Linked DNA regions of Arabidopsis thaliana. The protein of the gene in region 3 interacts with the protein of the main gene of each other region in a pairwise test. Each region holds a gene or a part of one and is shown on either strand. Other genes may lie near its edges. The genes, in order: HSL1, FUS9 and COP8.

Evidence for each region.
Region 1: the proteins of COP8 (region 3) and HSL1 interact in binary tests that used the Arabidopsis thaliana proteins (3 or more experiments, as listed by UniProt).
Region 2: the proteins of COP8 (region 3) and FUS9 interact in a two-hybrid assay, tested with the Arabidopsis thaliana proteins (one study listed by BioGRID).

Annotation. Positions count from the first base shown.
Region 1 is NC_003075.7:15,477,632-15,485,495, reverse strand, and holds HSL1 (HSI2-like 1), read right to left. Parts: upstream 6,118-7,864; 5' UTR 5,684-6,117; intron 5,323-5,683; 5' UTR 5,262-5,322; intron 5,002-5,261; exon of another isoform or gene 4,855-5,001; 5' UTR 4,708-4,854; intron 4,515-4,707; 5' UTR 4,449-4,514; intron 4,372-4,448; 5' UTR 4,266-4,371; coding exon 4,147-4,265; intron 3,964-4,146; coding exon 3,882-3,963; intron 3,794-3,881; coding exon 3,692-3,793; intron 3,596-3,691; coding exon 3,069-3,595; intron 2,980-3,068; coding exon 2,883-2,979; intron 2,790-2,882; coding exon 2,615-2,789; intron 2,427-2,614; coding exon 2,350-2,426; intron 2,214-2,349; coding exon 1,896-2,213; intron 1,809-1,895; coding exon 1,759-1,808; intron 1,635-1,758; coding exon 1,521-1,634; intron 1,357-1,520; coding exon 1,289-1,356; intron 1,213-1,288; coding exon 599-1,212; 3' UTR 142-598; downstream 1-141. UniProt on the Arabidopsis thaliana protein: Transcriptional repressor of gene expression involved in embryonic pathways, such as LEC1, ABI3, and FUS3. Repressor of the sugar-inducible genes involved in the seed maturation program in seedlings.
Region 2 is NC_003074.8:4,422,643-4,426,441, forward strand, and holds FUS9 (Ubiquitin-conjugating enzyme family protein), read right to left. Parts: upstream 2,253-3,799; 5' UTR 2,156-2,252; coding exon 1,927-2,155; intron 1,827-1,926; coding exon 1,753-1,826; intron 1,396-1,752; coding exon 1,248-1,395; coding exon of another isoform or gene 1,186-1,247; exon of another isoform or gene 1,025-1,185; coding exon 927-1,024; 3' UTR 595-926; downstream 1-594. Other genes in the region: AT3G13560 (O-Glycosyl hydrolases family 17 protein), read right to left, coding at 2,842-3,013, 3,099-3,126, 3,231-3,799. UniProt on the Arabidopsis thaliana protein: Component of light signal transduction machinery. Involved in repression of photomorphogenesis in darkness by participating in the CDD complex, a complex probably required to regulate the activity of ubiquitin conjugating enzymes (E2s).
Region 3 is NC_003076.8:17,236,597-17,242,600, forward strand, and holds COP8 (Proteasome component (PCI) domain protein), read right to left. Parts: upstream 4,221-6,004; 5' UTR 4,054-4,220; coding exon 3,924-4,053; intron 3,786-3,923; coding exon 3,634-3,785; intron 3,364-3,633; coding exon 3,260-3,363; intron 3,172-3,259; coding exon 3,111-3,171; intron 2,654-3,110; coding exon 2,561-2,653; intron 2,473-2,560; coding exon 2,372-2,472; intron 2,131-2,371; coding exon 2,022-2,130; intron 1,937-2,021; coding exon 1,892-1,936; intron 1,669-1,891; coding exon 1,600-1,668; intron 1,503-1,599; coding exon 1,411-1,502; intron 1,337-1,410; coding exon 1,234-1,336; intron 1,111-1,233; coding exon 1,051-1,110; intron 949-1,050; coding exon 874-948; 3' UTR 557-873; downstream 1-556. Other genes in the region: AT5G42965 (Polynucleotidyl transferase, ribonuclease H-like superfamily protein), read left to right, coding at 140-529. UniProt on the Arabidopsis thaliana protein: Component of the COP9 signalosome complex (CSN), a complex involved in various cellular and developmental processes such as photomorphogenesis and auxin and jasmonate responses.

The DNA.
Region 1 (7,864 bases), on a different chromosome or scaffold from region 3:
TGATAAGTGATAACTCTTATTATTACACTGACACGATCAACACTTCTAACATCGACCGAGCTATAGCCGATTTATTTGCTTCCATGTAACTGATTGTGTGTCTTCATACCATAAGTTTATCACCAAATCAAAATAATAGGATCTCGCGTAACCAATTTCTCTAATTTAAGTAAATCATAAATTTCATAAACAAACTTGAAAATAATAAAAATTATGTACAGGTTCGAATTTTGAAACTTAAGATTGCGATAGATAGGCGTACAAATTTGAAGCTCCACCTCCAGAACCGATTCTCTTCTTAGAAGCTTCATCCATTTCCATATTAGATATAACTATTAAGTTAGTGTCCTATGTATTTTCAAAAACCTCATCAAATCTATTTGTCTCTCTCTCTCAAGCCTCAACTCACCACACACCAAACCAAAACACCAGAAACAAAAAGAAAAGCAAACTACAAATTCCTCATTTCTTCGATCGACAATTGGTAGAATGGTCGTAACCACTCAACCAATTTGAGACGAAACCGAAGACATTTTTTGTGTAAATAAGAAACACATACCACTGAAGAATAAATACTCATGGAGAATTCCAAAGCTGTTTAGTTCACAGGATCATGAGCTCCATTTGTTGTGTCTTTCTCAGTTTCTTGTGCGGCTGAGGACGAACCGTGTTCTGTGCTGACCATATCACTGCTTTGCTGTTCTCCTGCTGTATTGGAAATAGCCTTTTGTTTCAGATATGCTTCCAGAGGAAACGCTGCAGCTTGGAGAAGCCTCATCATGCTTACTCGGGAAGCCCCCGGGTCTGAGTTCAAGTCGATGTTTTCCCCTGCGGCTAGTTCAACCGCTGGAATGCTCTCCACTTCTGTCTCGTCCCTGCACTCTGACTGTGACTGCGCCTGCTGGCTTGCCTGTCCTGCCTCTCCTTTGTTCCGCTTCCGCAGCATGAGCGTCCTGAATCGTCTCTTCACTGCCTCGCACACAGTGCAAGTGCATGACGGCTTGTGTTTGCCTTTTCCGCTCGGTGGTTGGCTGCAGACGATGCACGAACACCCTGCCCGGTGTCTTGGATGCTTGGTCGTGGCTGCAACCGTGATTTCCCCCTGTTCACCGGTTGTGGTGATGCCTGCATTTCCTAAACTATTCAGAGCAGATGCATCCTGCGACTGGTTTAGCTTTTCGTTTGATGATGCCAGTCTCCTCCTTTTGAACTCTGTTGAGACGAAAGTTTCGTTATGTAAAGAAGGAAGTTTCTAATTATACAGACCAATAATAGCTGCGGATTTTACCTTTGCTCTGCCGGACAAGTGTATCCTGTTCTCTTGGAGAGAGTTCATCAGGTGCGGAACATGAAGACCTGACGATATAAACAGCAACTCAAATTATTCAGATGGCCAGTCTCAGTGAGTCAAAAATCTATAATTATCCCATATGTGTAGTCTAAGTTATTTCGGAAAAAAATGCGCAATGTTCTGTGGTAACTAGCCTAGGTTAAACACATGAACATGCAACCTCGTTTACCTGCCAGGATCCAAGAGATTATCAGAGCACGACCACTTTGGTGGAAGAAGAATATCCACCGGCAGCTGTCGCCATTTCCCACAAGCATCACACTGCACCCATTGCTCTTGTTCCCTGAGAATTCATGGATCACATATCAGAACCAAATAATCAGATGTTCATTACTTCAAATCTTTCGATCATTCCAAGGGTGCTTAATTCTTCTGATCCTATCATTACATAGTACATGAGGCCTCACCCTGTTTGACGTGAGACAAAAAGGGTCCTCTTCCCGAAAACTGGTGGTTCCTGGGTAGCAGCAAATACATGATTTCAGAAAATACAGTGAAAAGTTCCCAGCTGTTTTTGATAACTAAACAGTTAACAGTAACTCACGTCATATTCTTCAAAATCTTGATTTTCCAGCGTAAAGATGCTGGGTTTGGTGGATTGGGGAGGCCGCAACAGCTCCTGTGCCTCCTCCCAAGTTATTTTCAGTTCCAGAACATCTACGCTATCAATGAGCAGACGCTTGCTCTTAGTCCCAATGTTCCGAACCCGTTTCCTAGCAGAAGTTAAGGACGACTGAAGAAATAAGTTATCCTTTGCCATGTCCTCAGACTTCTCTAGTTTAGACCAATTGATGTCACCACATCCCGGATTCAAGCTGTTGGAAAACATGTTCAGATTGGGTTCACTGCTTCCCTTGAACATCTGAAGAAACACGGAAAAATATTTCACTGAAAGAATCAGTACGAGAGCACCAGAAAAGGATTCTTTAATTCAATACACTTCACAGTGGCAGTTACTTATGCCTAAGGGGGCAACTCTCAGCTTATTATGCATTTACCTGTGTCGCTGTAGAGTTCGTCGCTTTACGGTATCCCATTACGAGTTTTCCTTCAGGTTCTGTACGGCTGAATGTTACTGCAGAGAACATGGAAAATCCAAGACATCAGACCTAATAGAAAAGTACGGTCATCTCTTCGTGGAATGTATTTCACTGTCCTCATGATTGGAACGCTTTAGTGCCAATGTTTCATTTATCCATACCAGGGTGGGTTTATCAATATGTTATGAATGTAGTTAACGAAACAAAAGGATTTGAAAAGTACCAGTGTCACCAGCTTGCAACTGCATGGACTGTATGCAAGGAGTCACACCCTCCAAAACGTACATCCTGCTGTTATTATTAGGCCAAAACCTGAACTGGAACACCCATTCTTTCCCTTTTATGTCTTGTATCTTTAACGGGAGACCCTCGGGTAGAGATATAGGGGGGAAATATGCCTACATAGAAGCATAGACGGTTATAGCTGATACCTGGCATTTAGATAGCAATAGTTTGGGAATATCAAATAAGCGTACAGAGAAACAAGTTACCTCTGCACATGCTTTCGGAAGAACCAGTCGACCAATACGACCCGCATCGCTCGCACTCAGAACTTTTTCAAAGAGTGGTATAATTTTGGAATTTGAGCTAGGAAAATAAACAGTCAAGGACTCCTTAGCACAGAAAAATAGTGCATAATGGTAGAATAAAAGCAGAAACACGATATTATAACATACAGATGAGGATACTGTCCAGATAATTGCAGCAGCTCTTGGTCAGTAATCCTAGGCCAGTAACGGGGAAGCAATTGGGTCTTCCCGCGACCTTCTGGAGGAGGCCGAGCGACATGAATCTGTGACACCAGGCTCCCACTAGGCTCCATGCCAGCAGCAATGGGAGCTGAATTTGCAGGTTTTGGAAGCAGCTGCCTGGACCGAGGGGCCAGTTGGAAAATCGAATTAGTCTTACTTCTGTCATCAACAGCAGCATCATGAAATGGGCTTGTCATAAGCGTAGGTCCAAGTGAAATGCTCAAGTTTGGCTGTGCAGACAATTCTTTCCTTTCAGTTTTGTGTCTAAGAGCATCTAGGCTGGAAGGAAGCAGCGATTCTTCTTGTTTCATTTGAAGAGAAGAATGAGTGGGGTCGATTCTTTGAAAGTGAAGCAAGTGCTTGAGATTTGTCCTCTCAAGAACACTGCCTACATGCTCTGCTGAAGCAAATGAGGGGAAGTCCTTACCGTTAGATTCATGGCTCACATTCATCTGTAAGAGAGATTACATGAGTATAGTGACAGAGAAACCAAGACCAAGGAAGCATCCCTTGCAAGAAGTTAACTCATGGAGAGGAAATTGTCTTACAGAAATTAGTCCGGATTTCTTGGCGCAACTTATACAGGTAACACCACCATTCTCTAGAAGCTCCATCATAAATCTAGAAGCAATGCATCCACAGTGAAGACGCTGAAAAAAACGTAAATACGTATTAAGGAAAACAATTGAAATACGTTGAGTGCAAAAACATGTGTAGTAAGCCATGGATTTTCGTCACCTTGTCACATGAATTACACTCTCTCCAACCAGATTCCTTGGCATGGAACACTTCACAGAATATGGATTGCTCGTATGCACACCTATCAAAAACCAACATTCACAGAGTTTACTAATAAGTAATCATGAAATATAGATTCCCTTCACGTACCCACTCTTGTTCTAATTGTAAGCAAACCCACAGCACTAATCTATCGCAGAAGTGTTGCGAATATCGAACTGGTCGCAAAAGTATTCAAATTAGACACAAGAGTGAAGGCCCTTACCCACACTTATCGCAGAGAGAAGCTAAATCACCGGATCGCATAGGCCAGCCTTTTTTCCACTCGCCCGACGTAGAGGCCGCTCCGCACAGTGCGTTCATGCAAACCTTTATTGACTCCATAATTGACCAATTGAGCGGCTCGATTCAACTGTCAATAACTTCAAATGAAGCAAGAGCCTTATCGTATTCTCCGCACGATGGTGCTTTAATCCACCGCAACTTTCCTCTTTAATAAAGGCACAAGCATTAAAAATATGCAATGATTAAGAAAACTAATTGGTATCAGAAAAGTTAAACACTTACCAGAAAAGGCAGAAGAAGATGTCAAATATATTGTCGAGAAACTCAATACGCTCCTTCTGTGAAAGACTATATACAAATAAAAACATATAAGATGACGATATATAGAAGAAGATACCAACTGTTATAAAGTAATCAAAATCCGTAAATGAATGAATAGTTAAGGACATTTGATATTGACATCTAAAGATAAGATATCATTGCATCCTAAGGAAAAAAAAACGAAATTAAAGTTCACAAGAGACAAAGAAAATCAACAGACCTTTCGAAGAAACTTGTCCAAAAAAGAGAAACCACGAGTCACTTCCATCTCCTCAGTTTTCAACCAAACCAATTCTAAGCTTAGACATGTCCACACGAAACTTCTCAGTGGTGCAGTGGAGATGGAGCCTCTTAAATAATTGTGCCACTGTGATAAAAACGCACCATCGAAAAGTTGACTGATGAATGTATGGAAGTCCAAGAAGTCTACAATAGTGATAATGAGAATAATATCTTGACTGTGAAAAAGGATGAATTGATTCTGTAGACAAAACTAAGTGCAAACCTTAAATAGTCAAATTATTCAATTGAACGGAAATGATCCATCACCTATCTGAGCTACAGTAGGCTAACAACGATTCCACTACCTAGGCACAATTTCAAGGAAGATATAATTCTTATTAAACCGCTAAATAATCCAAAAACTTGCGAGTCAGCAAGATCTAATCTGAGGATACACATAACTTTTAATGCTATTGAAAGAAGAATATAGACTTGAAGAAAAAAATGTAATAAGCAGCTACATTAAGTAAACAAGTAAACTAAATGTAATACCTTAACAGAGATGACAGAAATGTATGCAGGTTTGTCTCCAGTAACAGGAGAAGATATTTGGCTGCAATTGGAAAATACAAAAATTAGGTGAATAACATGACATATTTGGCTGCAATTGGAAATTCATAAAGAACCAAGGACGACACTTTCTTAAGAAGCAATAAAATGATATATAAATCGAACTAGTTTCATTCTTCTTCAAATCTTTCAACTTTGGTTGACCCAAAAAACCACTGATTTCCAAGTAAAGCTTATAACTTTGTAAAAACACTGATGTAAAGGTTCAATTTTTACAATCCTAATTCCGAAATCTACGGTCTTTGAACAAAAAAAAACATGCATAAATCACCAAGTTTCTGAACACTAATGGCCGAGCAAGTAAATTTATCAGAGCATAATCACCGGAGAGGGTTAACCCTTACCTTGGTTTGTGTGGAGAGAGAGCCGATTGATTCGATCGGAAGAGAAGGGATAGTTTTCGACGGAGAAGTGAAGTTAAAAACCAAGTCAAAGTCGTCTTTACGTCGACCAAGTGAAGAAGATTTGAGCCAATTCAATTGCAGCAACAAGAGGTAGTGGCAAAGAGATTTAGAAATAACGAAGGAGTTGATGAATTGGTTTCTAAATAAAGAAGAAGAAGCCACAATGACTTAGAGCGAAAATCTCCATTACCAACAACAACAAAGGGCTCGTGGAGAAGACAACAAATCTGGAGCGTTAGATTACAAAAAAAAAAAAAATGAAACACAAAGAAACTGCTGACGTCAGCCTGACCTAAAACCCAGTATGCTTTATTTATTTATTATGGATGAGAGAATAATGTAAAGTTTACTCAAAGTGTGACATTTTATGTAATAAGATATTAATTAAAGTGCACGCAAAAGGTCATCTCTGTTTCGACCTCACCTAAGGTTTGCTTCTAGATTTATATACGTCTAAATTAGTATTTTGATTTCGATAATAATATTATTTAGTAAAGCATTGAATTTGAGAATGATGAAGTGGCTTGGTTTCTAGGGTTATAAGACAGGAACCCACGACGACCATCACCAACACATCAGCAGATCAGCTACTAGGTCCAACTCCAACTCTTTATTTTTGTTGGTTCAACAATTTACTGCAAAAGACTTAAAAAAATGTAGCCCAAATAATCATGTCAGGATAATGGACCGAAGATTGGTTGATGGGCCGTTTTAGATCAAAAAAATCATTCCACCTTTGGAAAAGATCTCTTTAGCATATTACTTTAAGGTTTGTTGCAAATGAAAAATAGTTGGAAAATATTTTAGACCCTTAAAAGTCTTATCCGATAGGTAAAGTATTTAAATCAGTTCATGGGTTGAGTTTCATAATTGAAACTAGGCATAGATTGGCCCTTTCCTTTCTCTTTAATAAATACTCGATTCATCCCTTTCTACTGTCTGTCTCAATATCTGTACATACCATTCATTGTAGCAATCACTATACGTACATGTTAATGTCTATGAAGTATGAACAATAATAAGAATTGGGTAAGAGAGTTATATATGTTGTTGATAAACAACAGTGAATTCAAAACTATATAATTTAGAGAGGGTTTGTATATCCCTTTTTTTCCTCTGTATGAGTAATGTGAGAACCAATTATTCGTTTATAGATGAATAATAAATTATCTTTCTGTTTATCGTACCGAGTTACCTACCATATTGCTTAGACTGGAAATGCTTTGTTGGTAAAAAGACATGATTGGTTGAAAAATAGATAAAAGCATGAATGGGATTCAAAAACTAACGATAATTAGGAAACTGGATTACCATGGTTGGTAGGCTAAACCCTAGCTATTCTAATCGCTATTACATTCTCACCTACTTTGCATAGTCATTAAATTTGCATATCCACGAATTCGTACTAATAGTTTCGCAGAAAATACACATGCAATCTTATGAATATTGCTTGATTTATTTAAGAAACAAACTTGTATGCAATTATTGGTATATAAATCAGTTATAACCGAGCCATTTGTCAATATGACTTTGACACATGGGTAAGTCTAAACAACTAATTCATACTCTAGTTATCAATTGTCTCTTGTAAATAATTTAGTACGTATTTTTTTAGTTAGTCTTATAGATGAGTAAATCACCCTTTTTAAAATTATTAGATTTTCGGTTAAATGTTTTGGATTCTAAACTCAAAATTAATTAGCAATATGTGATGAAAACCCTTGTAGTTATGTAATTGCATGAAACAAAAATGATTTCAAATGTTATTCATATGTACTAGATCTTCAAACATTAACACATGAACTAACATTTTGGAATTACATCGATATTCATTTAATTGGATCCAAAAGGTTTCAACTTCTCGTTCTGTTATTAGTTTTTGTTTCCTCTTTTTTGTTTTCTATTTATTTTCACATGTTCTAGCTTCTTAATTCTAAGCTAACTTGAGTAGCCTAATAAACTTGTGTCACATGATGAGGACATTTCTCAAATGGAACATTCAGACATTTACACTCCCATACGTTGATATCATGTTATTTGCTATATTAGTCTAATATTGTTGCCTTTCAGATTTCACATATGAAATATTCCTTGTTGTAACCAAGAACCATCTCTGTGTAT
Region 2 (3,799 bases), on a different chromosome or scaffold from region 3:
ACTCTGATTAACAAAATTTTAGTGTTAGATACATAGTCATCATAAGATTGGATACTATATATAGTCGATATACTGGATATATCTTCCAACATCTCTAGAGGTTTTACTCAAAACTTCAAGAGAAATATATATGATGCCAACGAAGGGGAACATTAAATAAAAAAATAAGATAAACAAATTGAGTATATACATGTGATGCATAAAATGACATATTCATCTGCATATACACTAACACATCTAACACACGTATAATTAACGGATAAATATTACAACGTACCGATATGAAGATATTAGTCGCAGAGACTCAAAATATGTTACTCTTTTTTAACACTGCTGTTCTACATATTCTCTATATATACCATGCGTAGATAGATATGTACTGACCATTTGTGATAATTATGTTAAACAGAGTTAGGTTAAAAGAACGAAAAGAATTGACCGGTAGATTTGGTCTCTCAAGTCTCACTTGTGTCTTCAATAGAAAGTTTGATCTTTCTTTTTGGAGATAATCAATCAATAAAGATTATGGAACATGTTAGGTACCAACTAATACTCTTCAGTTTAATTATCTCATCTGTAATCGCTTTTCTCTAGAAGTTATGGCCTACTATTCTTGTTTCAAAACAAAATGCTCTTGTTTTCTTATAAAAGAAACAATTCCTCAGTTATATTCAGACCATATATGATCTTTGGTTTTCGAGTCCTTGACGAAAAGATTTGACACTAAATTGTATAACCTTCAATAAATTGGAGTTGTTGAGGATTGGTCCTACCTCACATTGTTGCCTATTATCTGAGCAAACAATTTTCTTGGCCATCTAACATTGTGGTTCCACTTTTATGAATGTACATTGATGACCATTAACTAACCAAAGAACTAGGTGTATTTATAATACATCAGTTGTCTTTTCCTCGTATTGAAGATCTCACTTGGCAAATCGCAATGTCCATTCTTTGGCTACCTCGTCATGCTTTTCTCTATCTGTCAAGTAGAGCCGTGCAATCACCGGTAAAGCTGGACTATCTGGTCGATGAAGAAGAAGCAAAAAGAATAAGAACAATAGAGATTTACTATGGAAGTTAAATACAGTAGTTAGATGCGGACATCTATTATGTTTGTTGGCCAAAACTCATCACAAACTTTTTTTTAAAAACGTTCTCTTAGGTAGATCTGACATGAGCTGGTCATTTCATCAGAGGACTTGAAATGGTCTGATCTGAAGCCTGAGAGTAGAATAGAAACTTACAGGGTTCAGGTTTTAAGAAGATAGATCTGATGGCTTGTAAGACTTTAGTGATTGTAAGGGCTGGACTCCAACTATCTCTTAGAATGTTCACACTTAAATCTCCCGCAGTATCAACATTGCAATGGTAAATCCGAGTCTTGAACACCAACTGCAAATCAACCTCACCAACTTAACCAAAAAGACAGATGTAATAAAAGTGCAAGCTCTAGATTAGTACCTATAGCTTGACTATCACTAGACCCAAAACTTCAAGAAATTTGCTACAAAATGTATCCTAAGACTATGTTGAAAGCAATAAAACTACATAATATGCTAGACACTGAGAGTCTGAGACACTAGATGATCTCTGTTTCAATGTGATGCAGTTGAAGACTCATTGATATTCACTAAATAGTTCTTCCTAAAGAGATCATCATTAGAAATCAAAACTTCTAAACCTTAAATCATTACCAGCTAAATCAGTAAAGCTCCCAAAATGTGTTAACCAAAGAATCCATGATCATACCTTAGGTGGCTTGAATGGATAATCAGATGGGAAAATTATATCCAGGAAAAAGATCCCTCCTTCATAGGGAGTTCCTGCAAAAGTTCCATAAACACCAAATTCAAAGACTTGAAAACCTAACAAATTTTCAATCGGATTATCTACAAATATTCAAAGAGAGTATCAGAATTAAACCCGAAGGACCAATGATGGTGGCGATCCAATGGTAGAGATTATCTCCTTTTGGACCAGCTGAGCAATCAGGAGGTGGATCAATGTTAAGCTCAGCCATCTCCCTCTGTATCCTCTTCCCTGACGCAGAAACTGAAGTCTTCGCTACCCAAGACGACGCCGTTCCTGAATATCCGGCGTACATCGCCGTCGGTAACGGTCTCAACCTCCCGCTTCCGCCAGGTGTCATCATCTCCCGTCGTCGTCGTCTTCCGATACTCTCTGCTTATCCAATCCACCACTTGATCGTTTCGCTCGCACTCCATCGGGAAAAGATTTCGAAACGCCGCGTTTTTGTCCGATCAATTAAACAAATAAAGTAATCGCTGACGTGGAGATTAATTTTGTAACATGTATTTTTTATTTTTATTTTCTCTCACTAATCACTATCAATAAATTTGTAATCATTTTGACAACCAAATTTATTTAAGTTGAATTATCGAATATTCTTGTCCTTTTGTGTAATGTGATCATGTTATAACCACGTGAATCCTTAATAATTTGATAAATGATTATTCAAAGTTCTTGAAAAAGGCACACATTTTGGAAAGAAAATTGAAATTATCCAAAATCAATTTAATTTTTGTTTAAACATAATCAAATTTACTCTGTCAATTTTTATGAATAACATGATTTACGTAAACTCTCCTACAATGCACTGATTCATTTGAATATGAAATTTAAATCACTCTAATTCGAATATTTTAGTTCAAAGATGAAGACAAAAAAAAGAATGGGAACTTGTGAGCCCTCTTTAGTCTCTAGTTACACTTACACTAAAAACAAAGTACACAGTAACTACCGGTAACCGTAAGAAATCCAATCCAAGCCACAGGTAGACTTCCCCGGTTACTACAAAACCGCTTTTTGGCAAACGTTCTACAAAAGGCGGTCATGCTGAAGCAACAGTTGTAGTAGAGTGAGAGCTAACGGTGCCAATATGGGAAGATGGTAGCTAAAGATGATACGTGCGTTTGCGTTTCCTCCCAATGGACTTGCGGGTCCTAACGCATCCGGAGGAAAGTTTCCATTAGTAGCGTTTGCGTTTAAGCTGAGATAAATGGAAAATGATTTCAAAGAGTTAGGAGCAGATTTCATTTTCAAAACTTAACAAGACATAAATTTAGTATCGTTACCTTCCCGTATATGCACATGTTCTATAGCCTGCAAACACACAAGCCATCGAATTTGAGATTTACTCTGAGGAAACAACTTGAAAACATAGAATTATTGCAACACATAGATCAGAGGAAATGAGAAAAACTTACTAGGATCTCTAGTCGTAGTGATAGCCGTACCATCAAAGTCACAAGTTCCACCTGCACTTTTCATCTTCTGGTAATAGTCATTGAAAGCAAAAGAAGCATGGCTCTTAACATCGTTAGGGAGGTAGCAAGGTTGGCCCGGTTGAATGGCAGCGCAGTTAGCTCGGCCTTGACCACACGCCCAATTCAAACCGTCAACCAACTTATCATCATCAGCATCTGCTTTAGCCACGCAGAACATCGATGAACCGTTTAGAGCTGCGGAGCTAGAGCCACCACTCAAACTCAGAGGGTAAACCGAGGTCCCATTTGGAAACAAAATCCCCCAGTTTCTTTCAGAGACTGGTCCTGACCGCTTGTCTTCATTGTACAGCTCGTAGATGTAAGTGTTTATCGGTATGTCTGGTTGACTAGGAGGACCTGAGTTGTTCAGCACTCTCTTGATCAAGTTAGTGTTGAATGTCTCCGCATTAGCGACTGTTGCAGCCGCTTCATCGCTTCCACCAGACGAAGGCCAGCCTGTTTCCGTGACTACAACAGGAATCTTGGAGAAATTCAAAGCTTCCATGGAG
Region 3 (6,004 bases):
TACTAGCAGTTTCGTCTGTTATCATTGATCATTTCTTAAATTCGCATAAGTTTTGATCGTTCAAGAATAAAAATTAAACAACGAATGGGAAAATGTTATATGTAACTACTAGTTTCATCTGAGAAATCATGAGGGGAAAATGTTGTGGCTGGGACTTCGTGCAATCCCGAGAGTTCAGACAGTGTTGGAAGTGGAACTTGAAGCTATGAGATGGGCAGCTCTTTCAATGTCAAGATTTAACTATAAGAAAGTCATCTTTGAATCAGATTCCCAACATCTAGTGTCTCTGTTAGGGGATGATACTGATTATCCAAATTTGGCCCCAAGAATTCAGGACATTAGACATATATTCCAACAATTTGAGGAGGTGAAGGTGATGCATATAAAGCGTGAAGGAAACAGTGTGGCAGATAGAATTGCTAGGGAATCTCTTTCTTTATTGAATTATGATCCTAAAATGTATTCTAAAGGTGCCGGCTTGGATAAAAGATTGTGTGTATTCAGACTCTGTGTAATCACCGTTTGGTAAATGAGAAGTTGTTGTTGAGCCAAAAAAAAAAAAAAAACTACTAGTTTCATCATTCTCTTGCACAAGAAAGGTTCATCTATGCATAAAATAATTTGTTCTGAGGTAAAAATGTACCCTGAACCTCTTTTCAACTTTCTTAAAAATCCTCATTCAATGCCTAATCTTTTCCTCTCTGAATCAATTAACCTAAAGACATAGACATGAATTTGCAAGAAAGTAAATAAGGTGAAAATGACTGTCCCCAAAACACAGCAATTTGGCAAAAACTTTGGCATGAGACTCGATCCGTTGCTCGGCTAATACAAATTAATCATCATGAGGCGATCTCACGGCTTGGGAGTCAATCAGACAGGAACAGACATGCCTTTCTTGGCCATCCCATCCAGAATGTCATTGAGAGCTTGGCATAATCCCGATATCTGCACAGATTCCACTTTTCAGTCATATTCCACGCCAATAAAACAAACAATCATATATAGTTGCTCTAAAGAGACAAAGAGTGGGAGGGAGAGATAGAAAACCTGTTGATCCCATTGTTGTAGTTCCTCCACGTCATCCTCAAAATGAATCACAGCCTCCTCCTGAACAGTAACATAAAATATTAAAACACGTCTAGGAACCTCCTTCTAGAAAATCAACACTAACGAGAATTCTCTTCAGGGCTCTTACATAGCTCAACCAACAAAGTATTTTTTATTGCTTACCTGATCTATGGAACCCCTCATTCGGTCTTGCCCAATCATATTAGCTGCTATCTTCTCCGCTTTTCTTGGATCAATCGCCAACAGAGTTCCCAATTCATCAAACCTAGGATATAAAATAGTTGAGAAAATCAAACAAGTCTAGACACACAAAGAAGATACTAATTCGACATCTCATACCTTATGTTTGTGTAGAGTTTGCTTGCACTAAGAAGGTTATGCTCAATCATAGCACGGTCAAGAACAGTGGATTTGTCAGGCAAAGATGCTTTCTGTTGAAATCAACAGTGTAATAACTTGTTATGAACCTACTTACCAACTCAGATGTTATCCAAAAACTACATCTAAATCTTAATTCACAGTCCATACCTGATGTGGCCTTAGTTCTTCTGAAAAGGCATCAATCTCTGGTCTCCTTAAAATCCTTTCCAGATACACCTATAAAGTTGCATTAAAAAACAAAAAGTTACCATGCATTTCTAACCAAGCCTCTATAAGCTATGGTGAACTTGTTTGATTTGATAATGAATCAAATCTAATAAACATCATGCCGGCTTAAACAAGAGTAATATGTGAGTTCAAACAATACTATATGTCCAATAGCATGAAAATGTATGTTTGTCTACTAGAGGAAACAGTTGTAGGTAATAAGAGATAGAACCTTCTGCAGGATAGGATAAATCTTCAGCTTGGAGCAACGCTCATCCTGTTAATAGAAAGATATTGAGAAATAAAAAACAATAAATAAGCAAGCAGGAAAGTATTCTATTTGTAATCCAAAAGGGAATTACTTTGTATAAAGTTGCAAGAACACGAGAACGCTGAGGACCAGCTCCAGCTAATATGGTACATGTGACAGCAGCTGATAGGGCCTGCTCTAAAGCATTCTCATCAATCTCTCTGAAAAGATTAGAAAACACATTATAACCGTTTCAGAATATGAGATATCACAAAGGTATTGGAGAGAGAAAAGAGGAACACTATTCAATCACAGAGAGGGGAAAAGTAGGAAACTAGCTTTAAATACAGAGTCTCCAAAGATGGATAGAAGATTAATTAATCATTATTCCATCCGAACAAGAAACCAACAGAGGAGAATTTGAAGAAAAGATGTAGCAGAAAGATAAGTCAGTTCACTTACTCATCCCCTATTTGGCGTTGCTCAATCTGAGATATGCCGTAATACCGAAGTGCAGCCTCTAAAAACTTTCTTTTCATGTCCAAAATTCTAGCATAGCAGACCTGAAACAGAAATATATTAAAACTTGAAAACGAATGCTCCTTAATCACCCAGCACATAAATTCTTAGTTTACTTTAAGGTGGTCCAACCTTGTACTGCAAATTCAAAACTTCATTCTGACTATTGCTCACTAAGAAAGAAGCTTTATTTATAAAAGCCTCTGCATTTACAGCATCATCATCCTGAAAATTTCAAAACACAAAAGTATTAGAGAACAATAAAAATTTAACTAAATGTATTTATACAACTCTGCTAGCCTCAATTTACTCTCACAAGCAATAAATAAAAAAGTGATGTAGTGAAGCAGAATAATGCTCTTAACAGTCGATATTCCTAATTTCATGACACTTAGATTTGGTCAAGAGACTTAACTTTAAATAAAATCTCTCTAGAAAAATGTCCAAATATTTGAAGATTGAATCAACATTCAACAACGGGTTTCTTTTGTGCTTTTAAGATCTAACTTCTGTAACTGATTGACACGCACCCACAGAAGGAAACAAGACAAACTAGCTATAAATCATTACTGCGATGCGTAAATTCATCTCATAAACAGAGATAACCGATTTACATGCTTAAAAATTAATGAAAAGGACACAGAATCTATTGTGCATATGTACATGAAAGGGAAAGACAAACCTCGAGATACAAACGAGCAATTTGGATACACTTTGAAAGCTTGAAGTTGTCGTCAACGGCCCTAATAAAGAATTCCGCAAATCCAAAATAAGCAACACAAAAGAACATAGAGAGGAAACTAAAACAAAATTCTGCTCAATGCCACACACCTCATTCCAGAATCCAGATCAATTCCACTCAACATCTGTGCTGCTTTTGACCATTCCTGCTCTGATTCATACAAACCCGCAAGTTTTTCTCTGATAACAAGTGCCTGCAAATACACCACAAACAGTTTCATCTCTTAGAATAAAGAGATTGAAAAACAACACAACGTACATTGTCTCAGTTATCCCAAAATACAGCATCCTTAGTAAACAAATATCTCAAATTAGCTTTCAGTGTAGATTTCACATACCAAAGCGGTACAATAGCAAAGCGACTCTACATACCTCTCAACTTATGTTAAGTAGGTAAACTAATTAGGGTTTAAAAAGTACACGATTGCTGCTAAACAGTAAGGTATCACGAAGAGAAAACAAACCTGTTCCTCAAAGGAAACAACTCTAGGCTGAATCTGGGTAAGAGTAAATTGAGCAATCTCCTTCTGCGTCTCCGGTTCTAATCTCCCAAGCTCTTGTGCGAAAGACTGCAAAAGCTGCCTCGAAACCACCAACGGGACATCATCGGAAAGAACTGGAAAAATTGTGAGGAAGCAAAAATCAAAATCAAACCAGAAATTCTGATATAAACCGAATTCCATAAGAACAAAAAGCAGTTGTCGAATCTCTTATGAAGTTGAAACCATGAGAAAGAAGGGAGATGCGAAATTACTGTGATCGATGAATCTCTGAGCTTGGAGAAGATCGTTGGAAGAGAGAACAGAGGAGAGGATGAGTTTGTACTGTTCGATTTTCTGGCGTTGGTCACCGATTGCAGAAGCGTTCGTCAAAGCTTCATCCATGGCTTCTCTTCTGAGATTTTCTCTCCCGCTTCGATTGAAACCCTAAGAAACCTTACAAGGTTTTGATTTCTCTCTCGCTTTTTTTTTTTTTTTTTTTGGAGTTTGCTCTCTTTTTATATTAAAAAAATAAACGGGGACTAGATTCTGTGCCGGTGATCGGAGAGGCGCTTTACAAAATTTACTTAATATGGTCACAACTCATATGAGATTAGTACCCAAAATAAATTAAAATATATATATATATATATTAAGCATAAATACTATATTTTTTTTTGTTAGTTCATAAATTTTATAATTAATTTGTGATGGTAAGTTTACCAAATTGATTGTAGATTAAAAAAAAAAATCAACAAATAATATATTGTTTAGAAATATTTTTATATGTGAGCCTAAATTACTACAGTAAATCTTTTACACAAATAAAAAAACACGTCGTGATTTGGAAAACACGATGATGAGGTATTTTATGATGACAATACCACGTTTAATATTATGATACCAGATCGGAAAAAGATGATATGTTATGTGTTTTAGAGCTTAGGGAGCAATTTAAGATGGAAACGTAAATAATTATTTGTTGAGAAAGAATCGACTAGAAGCAATCGAAAAATTGATCGAATGGTCAAGATATGACCGAGAAGTCATCGGAAAAGTTGTGAGCCCAAATCTTGAGAGCAATGACATGCAAAATGTTTTGAAAGTGCTCTCATGAATTAAAAGTGAAAAAAGAACCACTCTCTCGTTACATAGAGGGTAGTATATAAAGAAATTTACCTATCTCAGACTAGGAAACCAAGTCTCGCATTGGAATACGACTTTGGTTTAAACATGTGAGCTGACTGACAAATCGATTTTATGTGCTTTACAACTTAGATATAACTGAACATATTGGTATTGGATGAGGTTGGACGATAGACTCATAGACACAATCGTTGTCTCGAAAAATCACGAGTTTCTCTCGCTTAAAGGATTTTTTTTGATGAAGTTTATGGTGATCCCGTTCGAGAACATCACAATTGTTTTTGAATCAACTTTACAGATCCATATTGTAACTAATGATTATAGACTACATAGTTTACCAAAATTACATTTACTCAAAAGAACAGATGCGGTTGTTGATGGCAAAACTTTTTTGGAATGGTAGACATCCCATTGAAAGAAAACAAATTGCCATGGTATGGAATTCATGATAATGATTTAACTCGTTATAGTCTGGACAAATTGTCATGGTAGGGTTTCATTGCTCTTTCTTTGGGTAGTTACCTCAAGATATCTCTTTGTTCTTCCTTGTGATAGTTCCACCTTGATATGTACAACCCCACATTAATCTGCTCATTTCAACATTAATTTTCTCTATTGTTTTTAAATTGTGTGTATAAGATTATTTCACTAACTAGGAAAACAATCCATTTCTTTGACACATGGGCTTTACTTAAACAAAAGCCCAATAACTTGTGTTTAGAAGTCACATGATCAAATCTCAAGACCTATTATAAATTAACAAATTTCATATTGATAAATTTTAAAAGATTTCCTATTACAATATTTAAAGTTGCTACAAATTATAGATTCTTTTGATCTTTTCTGATATTGTTTCTCAAATAAAATATAGGAATACCAAATTACAATATGAAAGTTGCTTCAAATTATAGATTCTTTTCTGATTTTGTTTCTCAAATAAAATATAGGACTGAACTACCAAAGGCAATAATATTCAATGTGACCAACAAAAAAAAAATAAAAAATAAAAAGAAATACTCAAATCTCATAACCTTTTTGACTAAATATATCAATTTCTTCTATTTTCAATGAGCATAAATTACACGCGTCCTCAGAAGCTGAATCCGATTTGCAATTCTTCAATCTCAACCGTTAGATCAACAAATCCGGCATCGAATTCCTCCGCGTGGTTTGGTCCATTTTTTTAATTTGAGTATTAATTCTTTTCCTA